Drosophila melanogaster: one gene and its partner. The protein of the gene in region 2 interacts with the protein of the main gene of each other region in a pairwise test. Each region holds a gene or a part of one and is shown on either strand. Other genes may lie near its edges.

The links. The genes of interacting proteins can lie anywhere in the genome.
Region 1: the proteins of Arl6IP1 (region 2) and slgA interact in a two-hybrid assay, tested with the Drosophila melanogaster proteins (one large-scale study listed by BioGRID).

Annotation. Positions count from the first base shown.
Region 1 is NC_004354.4:21,372,496-21,377,311, forward strand, and holds the start of slgA (sluggish A), read left to right. Parts: upstream 1-1,816; 5' UTR 1,817-2,245; exon of another isoform or gene 2,246-2,326; intron 2,327-2,926; exon of another isoform or gene 2,927-2,998; intron 2,999-3,614; exon of another isoform or gene 3,615-3,624; 5' UTR 3,625-3,709; coding exon 3,710-4,171; intron 4,172-4,816. UniProt on the Drosophila melanogaster protein: Converts proline to delta-1-pyrroline-5-carboxylate. Involved in the conversion of proline to glutamate, which functions as a transmitter at neuromuscular junctions. Glutamate deficiency could possibly account for reduced motor activity.
Region 2 is NT_033777.3:16,641,880-16,645,730, reverse strand, and holds Arl6IP1 (ADP-ribosylation factor-like 6 interacting protein 1), read right to left. Parts: upstream 2,127-3,851; 5' UTR 1,847-2,126; coding exon 1,823-1,846; intron 1,714-1,822; coding exon 1,348-1,713; intron 1,184-1,347; coding exon 980-1,183; 3' UTR 560-979; downstream 1-559. Other genes in the region: CG10324 (uncharacterized protein), read left to right, coding at 1-557; nonA-l (nonA-like), read right to left, coding at 3,511-3,851.

The DNA of each region.
Region 1 (4,816 bases), on a different chromosome or scaffold from region 2:
CTGAGGAATAATACTTTATATTTTATTTACATACATATATAGATAGGTTTTACATGTTTTTCGGGCTATGTTGCACACATATCCAAAATATTCAGTTCATATCCGCACAACTGTGCATTAATATTCAATTGTTTTAACATTGTCGCATCAATCGAAAACCTTAAACTGAATTTGTCGCCCTTATGATAGTCTTGCGGTCAAGTTAAGCACCCATTTTCGATACTTACGATGCTTAAAGCTATTTGCTGGTGGTGCCCAATGGAGATGGAAAAACAGACATTCGTTGATCTACAATTTAGTCAATAATATTATGTAATAACAGAAAATCAAGCCAGCCGAAGAGAATGCGAGAAGAGAGTCGCGGCGATAGCGAATTATGTATTGTTTGTTATGACGGCGGTAGGAGGAGACCCGAGTCAGTTTCACACGCATATATCTATGTATATATTTGGTATTTAAATAACTTGTTCTGTTTTTTTCTTGTTAAGTTTCTCCTTTTTCGGGCCGCGTTCGCTAAGCAGCAAAATCAACAGCAGCGGTCGCTCATTAAATGTTAATTATTATTATTTCTAATATGTAGTCGTAACTTATTGCTATATTTGTCGAAACGCAAACAATTTGCAAACAAAAATATATTCATTTTAAAATGGAAACTTGGAATTTTCATTTTGAAGAGCCAATTTTGCAATATTTATCTATGAAACGCCAGTAAGTAATCAGTATACGGGAACAATTTGGTATCTATGTACGCATACATTGTGTATATTAAAAAATATGGAGTGCATATAGTTCTTGTAGTTTTTTTTTACGTTAACATGATTTCTTTGATGCCATAAATGTTTCTTAACTTTCTTACCTTTTTTCTATAAACAATTTTAAAGTAAAGTAAATTGAGACGTAAAAGGTTTTTTTTTGTTAGTGTCACAAGCCGAATCGCTTTGTTTTTAATTTTAATCAGTTTAAAAGATTTTATACGAAGTAATATGTTTGAAATTTGTAACCGAAAAAATCGCTTAAAACAAACCCAAAGGACATTTTTAGAGATCGCTGGTGTGTAGATTTGTGAGACGGCGATAACTATCGATATTTATATTATATTTATATTGCGAGCTGAAAGTAACAAATAGTTCGGATACTCAATTTTGTAACTAACAATAATTCAAACTTTTCTAAAATCCCTTCTTTCGGCACACAGCAAAAGGAAATATTTGGCTTGGGAGGGTCCGATTAGAAAGATTTAGAAAACTTATATTCATTTGGTGGCCTTATATTTGCGTAAATAGTGCAATTAAAATAAATCTGTTTGATACTTTCTTGAGTCCACGATAAGCGTTCTTTACACAGAGAAACATTTTGAATAATTTTCGTACCTGAAACTAAATTTCAAATTTTGCGAGCGTATATTTCGTATCGATATATTTCTCCAGTGATCTGGGTGTAAAGCAAGCCTGTTTGCGAGGCCAGTGTTGCAAGACGCCGGTTGTCAAGAAAGAGACAGGGAGAGAGATGAATAGAAGGAATGGTTCGTTTTTGTTGGACGCTGGTGTGGGAGTCCATTGATAAGATAAGAGCACCGAAGATTCCCGGCCAACCGCCAGGGGCCTAGATAAGCGTGCCGATTTTTATTGGGTAATAAGAGTTGACAAGATGGCGATTAATTTTCGATCGGGTTTCTTTTTTTCGCTCACGTGCAGCCCAAACAGCTGCTGGGGGTGGCCCATCCCCTTTCTGCCCCTCACCGACTGGTCCAACAATTTCTCTCAAGCTTTTTTGGACGAGCTTTCGCCGTGTTGGCCTTAATTTCGCTTCATGTGTTTCAGTTTATTCGCGAATTCAGACCCTTGCGCGTGCTCACGCTCTCTGTTGCAGCAGCAAAAACCAAAAACCCTCGAAAAGAACAACATTGACTCGAAAAAACCGAAAAATAATTATAATTGTACTTGTACTTGTGTGTCTTTTGTGAGGTGAGCAAATGCGCTGACAGAAACGGGAACTTTTCTACTTTTCTCGCAGGCTGCTGTGAGAAGTTTGTCAAACAAACACGAGTTTTTCCGAAAAACTATATTTGGCAATTCTACAAATTCTACAAAATTGTATTGTTTACCCTTATTATTGTTTTTGGGTCGTTGCTGGTTATGTATCGTAGTTTGTTTTTTTTGAAGTGACAAAACAACCGTTAAAGCAAAATTTATATCGAGCAAATAGAGGAAACCCACAAACCCAAGCGAAATTTTGCAGTGTACATGTGAGTGGCTGCGTTGTATTCGTATCATAAAAGGATCTCTACAAAGCGAGGTAGAGAGCAGTAAGCAGTGTTATATAATAGGTACAATTCGCCGCATAGCAACAAATAAGAAAAATGAAGAAAAAAAAACAAAAAAAAAAAAACCATTCAGATGAATTCGCAATTTAAGTACGGCAGCTCCCTGTTTCCCTTTAACCAAGGCGGCCAGAGCGAGACAGAACTTGATATAGCCCATAATGAAGTGTAATGAAATCTGTGCAATGAAACCCGCCAAGTTTTTTCGATTGATTGCAGCCTCCCGTCTGGCGATTATTTAGCGGGCTGCTAATTAATAAATAAAATGAAAAAGGGAAAAGGGGTTAATGGGTGGAAAACTGAGAACGAAAATTGGGGAGAATCAAGGAGAGCCGCAATTAACACCAATTAGTGTGTGCTTTCGGCGCATTTCAATTAAATCAAAACAAATTCCAAATCAAAATCAAAATCAGAAGCAAACGGGGCTGGCATGCCTGTGACGTCACACAGTCGTAGTTACAATTACGGTACAATCTCGGTTACATTTACAGTTACATAAACGGGAGCGAAGCGGCGAAAAGGATTTTCTCGCCCTCGGGTCCTTCCTCGTTTCGCTTCGTTGAATTTGCCGTCGCTTAACAACTCGCCCCATTTTCACGCGTCTTCGTCGCATTTGGTTTCGTGCTTTTGCGGCGTATACAACGCTCAAAGCGTAATAGAATAAATAATAAGAACGAAGTAAGAAGAAAACCCAAAAGACACATAATAGCGAAAGATAGATTTCTGCCCAGAAATTGACTTTTTTAATTGAACATTTCGAAGGTGTACTTGCGTACGTGTGATTGTGTTGTGCTGTTTTTTTCGGCTTCGCTCTCCCTCGCCGCCTCACGTTTTTCGCATTTGTTGTATAACATTCGGAGCGAGCGAAAGAGGGAGAGCGAAAAGCTCTCCGACAAAATCAGCTGTGATCATTGGCGTTGGCGTGGGGTTTGTGGGGGGGCAAAAAACACAATTAGGCAAAAAGTTGCAATAATAATATGTACACTGATTTTAATATTTTTATAAATTGAATTTTATTATACATTTGTTTATTATTTTTATATTAATTAGATATCATCCAATTACAATTAAATCAATTCTATATGATCTTATTGAAAATCAATGCATATTTTGAAACAGTCGTAATAATTTTGTTATATATGTACCACATTTCCACTTTTTAAAACGTTATTGTAATCGAGTTGAAAACGAGATAACCACCTTTAGTAATCTCTTCGTTACGCCACTGTCTTCCCTCAGATTCGTAGTGATTTGTAGAGATAATAGTGAAATTACCTCTGCTTTCCATTGTTTTCTTTTTGCAGCAACAACCGAGATTGGAGTGCGTTTCAATAACCGTCTCAAAAGCCGAAGAGCAGAAAGCGTAAATAAACCGCAGAATCCCTTGTAATGGCTCTACTCCGTTCGCTGAGCGCCCAACGAACAGCCATCAGTTTGGTCTACGGCCGTAATAGCAGCAAGTCGAGCAATTCCGTGGCCGTCGCCGCCTGCCGGAGTTTCCATCAGCGCGGCAGCGGGAGCACCAGCATCGCCGGAGAAGGAGCAGCATCGGAGTCCACGAGAGGAGTCAATGGAGCGCGCTTCCTGCACAGCGGCGACCGGCCGCTGCAGGCCTCCACTCTGGTCCAACCGGAGGTGGTCTCCAGCGAGACGGTGAAGCGATCGATGAAGCAGGAGTCGTCCCAGGAAAAGAACCCCTCGCCCGCTGGCTCGCCGCAGAGGGATCCCCTGGACGTGAGCTTTAATGATCCGATTGCTGCTTTCAAGAGCAAGACCACTGGAGAGCTAATACGCGCCTATCTCGTCTACATGATATGTTCCAGCGAGAAGCTGGTCGAGCACAACATGACGGTGAGTTAATCGGTGTCCCCCACTCCTCCTCTGCCGAGTCCTGCGACCTTTGACCCTTGAATTGGTCCAATCCATCGACTAGCTGAGATCTCTCTCTCTCTCTCTAGCTCTCTGTTTCTGGTTCTGTTTGCTGAGAAATCTGGGGCTCTGTTAGTACATAACCCCTGCTTAATGCTTTCTTAATATTACAATTAAGTAAGTATCGTTTTAGATAGTGACCGATTTCGAAACCATTTGTTTCAACTCTCGAAGTGTGTGCTGACTCTTCGCCTCTTCTGTCCTCTTCTGCTGCTTTCAACTTATTATAATTCATTCATTTATTTTATAAATACTTCCTTTAAAATGCTTTATTTAAATATATTCATGTACATGGATTCTTGGACACTTGAAGAGTAAACAAAAGTTATGAACAGCTAGGGCTATTGAATTCCATGTATGTATAATGTTAAAGTTGTCTGAAACTGAACGTAGAAGAATATTTAATTTTTTTGTTTGCTTCCTTTTTTCTATTCATGAATTTTTTTGTCTTATTCATGAATTTTTTCGATCCTGCCAAGCTTCCATTCGCTTGATTCCGATTTTCCGGGCAACCGAAGCCCGTGTCAGGTGGCTGGCTGCTTTCCTTCCGATTTTCCGCCCTGCTTC
Region 2 (3,851 bases):
CTTACAAATATGAAGACAAAAAAACGTACAAAGACGAACATCGCAGGACGTACAAAGACGAGCGAAAATCGTACAAGGAAGCCAAATCTAACAAAGAGGAGGTGGATCGAGAAAAGAAGTATGTGCGGAGTGGTAGCTCCTCTGTATCTAAACGCGAGGAACGTGAGCGTCGTCGTTCGCCGAGTCCCAGAGGCAGAAGCCCATCTAAGTCGAAGCGGGAAGACCGTGACCAAAAGCGTTCGCAAAGTCCCCGAAGCACCAGAAGAACAAAGAGTAGTTCAGACGAGGCAGACGATACGGGAGAGTCCACCGAGAGCGACTCCGACTCTGCATATGAACGCAGGAAGCACAAGAAGAAATCATCCAGCCACAAGTCAAGAAAACACTCAAAGAAGTCCAAGAACAAGTCGAGAAAGGCGGACAACGACTCCAGCTTAGAGAGCGATGACAGCCTCGGTGAAAACCATCGTCGTCACCACAGCAAGCACAAAAAGAAGACCAAGAGGAGCAAGCATGTCAGGTCCCGCACGCGATCAAGGTCAAGAGACCGTCAGTGATTGATCTATTTAGTTGAAATCTTTATTTAAATATAGTTCATTAGACGCTTAAGTTCCTTTTTTTATCTTACTTGGGATTATCATAAATTTCAATTAACTCACAAAATAATCACAAAAATGCCTTGTCTTTTGTTGCGCGTTTTTTTCTCTCTCCGTACGCCTCGTTTCGAGAATACTTCTGTCTTACATGTTACAAACTTATAGTAGGAGATGTGATGGGGCCAGAACCACGGATTTGCTAGTTTTCCGAGTTTTTTTTTTCTGTATGCGCTGCTCTTATCTTTTAAGATATTTATAGTTTCAAATTCAATGCGCCTAATGTGTGATTTAGTGATGCGATGTGTGCATAATGGCAAGTAGATGACTTAGGCATGTTTTATATTTTTGGTCAAATGGTGATGAGTTTATCTGGTTGCTTTCCTTTACTGCAGCTTCCTTTTGCCGCACTGGATCTTCTCGTTAATAATCTTCGAGGCCCTTTGGGTGATGGCCTTAAAAATGTCCTTGTTCTGTAGTCCTGGCCACATGAGGATGAGTAGGGTGGCCAAGTACATAAGCAGTAGATTGTTAATGATGGCTCCAATCCAGGCCATAGCCAAAAGACCCAAACTCATGACGATTACAAACTGGAATCAAAACGAATAAATGTGAGATGAAATAATAATAGAACCCGAAGTTTTTATTTACACTTGAGCTTGCAGAAGAAGATCTACTGCACATACTAGGCCCTGAAACTGCTTCTCTGTTTTCATATACATATACACACACGGTCTCTACCGCATCTACTCACCACTGTGGACTTCCGCTCGTTGAAGAGGTACTCGTACCAGACCACCAGGCTGCCCTTGACGGCGCACACCTGGCCGCACACGTCCTCGAACTTGGCCTCCTGGTCGCCATCCCAGTTGACTCCGCCAAAGATCAGGCGCGACACCATGGGGAATGCGTAGTTCAGCAAAATGCTAATGACACCGAGCAGCGACAGCAGGGTAATCAGCGACAAGTCCAGGTACCACAGCACCAGGTACAGGCAGCTGATGACGCCAAACACCACTCCGGCGTAGTACTGCTTCTCCCAGGTTAGCACGCCGTACGCTCCCACGATGGCTGTCCGGAAAGGCTCCAAGTCGTGCTTTAATTTGTTAAGTGCTCGTTTCTGGAAAATGCCGGAAAATGAGGAATCATTATGATATTAACTAATGGGGCTTCAATGGCGACGCCGTTTTCCGGCCGGAAAGCTTTCGGCAGTTCCACCCTTCGCTCACCTGGTCAACCTGCGATGCTGCCATGCTGGCTTTTCTTTGTTTCCTAGCGGTGCGCGTTCAATTCCGAGAAATCTATTTGATGCCCAAAGGTGTTGCTTTCGGTTTGAGCGAAAAATCAATTTTCTTGGGTGTTTTTTAAGTCGCCAAAGTCGCAGTGTGACCGTTGATCGACGTTTTGAAATGACTGATTCAGGGGTTGTTTCACTCAAACAGCGATTGCACTTTCAATCGGAACTTATCGAATTTTTCCCTTTACAACTCTGTTTTAAAAGTTTGTATTAAAAATCTTGTATTGATTTGGCTAAAATCTGATGCTAAATTCTAATGCCACCTGACATTTGGGCTTACATTTTTGTTTAAAATCTTGACAGCATCCTATCATAAAATATTGATTTACTATATCATGATTTTTATAAGCAGAACTAAAAGCCCATAAATGGCTTAATAAAATAAATACATAAATCAAAAATTAAATTGCCGTACTATTCAATTCGAAACTACAAAAATGGAAAGCAAAGCATCATTTTGGCTTTTGCTAGTTAATCAAGCAAATCAACAGCGGCTTACTTAGATAATGAACTCAAAGCCACCACATCTTGTATTATATGCAGATAAAATGTTGTAAATATAGATCTTAAATTCTTATATCAATGGCACGGAATAGCTTTAGTTTATTGCTAAAAATTTACTTCAAAAGAAATTTGTACTTAACTATCATGAACTTTAACGAAGCTACAAAAAAATATATATATATACATATATACGTTTGGACAAAATGAAGAGTTTCCATCTGTTTCCATCTCGAGGAAATTCAAATTGATGGTTATACCACGGGTAATTGAACTGAAATCTTTGATTGCTTCGGTACAATACAATTGTGTAATTGTTGGGTGAATGGGAGGAGGGTTCATACAATAGTTCATTCTGTTGATCAAATAAATTCTTTTGTTTAAACAAGTGATTGCATTTTGACCTAATATATGGACAGCGTCGTGGGACTGAAGATACCGGCGGAAATGTGTCCTTTCGGACAGCCTTGCAACTTATTGCCGGATTTCCCAATAGAGCTGATGGCATTTTCCGACTTTTCCGCTTTAACACATTTATTACCAACATAAATTCCCAGTGAAACCTTAGGTTAGAGCCGTTTTTATTAAAAGTAGACAGAGATGGGATGAGAAATACATTGAAATAAAAGCAAGTCCGATTTCGATTATTTACTCATAAATCAAAGTATAATCTACGATTATAAAAATTAGGCTCTTTATCTATATTCGACTCCAAATAATCAGTAATTTCAGTCGCATTCAATATTTAATTTGAATGATAGACAAAAATTAATCGTGTTAGGAGGTAGTCTCTACATATATCTAATGGATGATGGATGGTTATGTTCAGGTGTTTTTCTTCGAAATACTGCACATCTTGTAAGTTGCCATTCGTGTTTGGATTTTGTCATTTTTGTGTTAATATTTCGTGGTGGATTTGTTGTTGAGACCGTTTTTAACAGTTTTTGGTTAATTATATAAATTCAATTTATATTATAATGAGATGAATGCATCTTCGCTTGCATGATCCCATTTGTTATTTATGTTATTGTTCACGCATAGCCGAGCGAAATGTCCGATATTATGCGTAACTAATGAGATCACTATTGTTTTCGTCGCTATCTATATAGGTTTCAGTGTCTAGAAGCGTCGGTGTCCCCATGAATCAATGTGTCCGTGTTGGTTTCCGTCGCTATTATCTGGACCTCCAGGTCCAGCCATTGTTGAATTGTTGCTGTTGTTCCCAAATACTTCAAAAGGGGAATCAAAGTGTTCGAATCCAGAGTTGCTGCCTCCGAATCCCTCCTGCTGATCGAGGATCATGTTGAGTTTCTTGGCCTGCATTAGCAAATCGTTCTCCTGCTGACGGGCTCGCATATCCTCCTCATGGCGAAGTAATTGGTTTTGATAACGATGCATGTATTCCTCTTCCCGCTTTCGAATCTCCTCGGCTTGTTTCTCACGCATCTCCCACTCCAGTT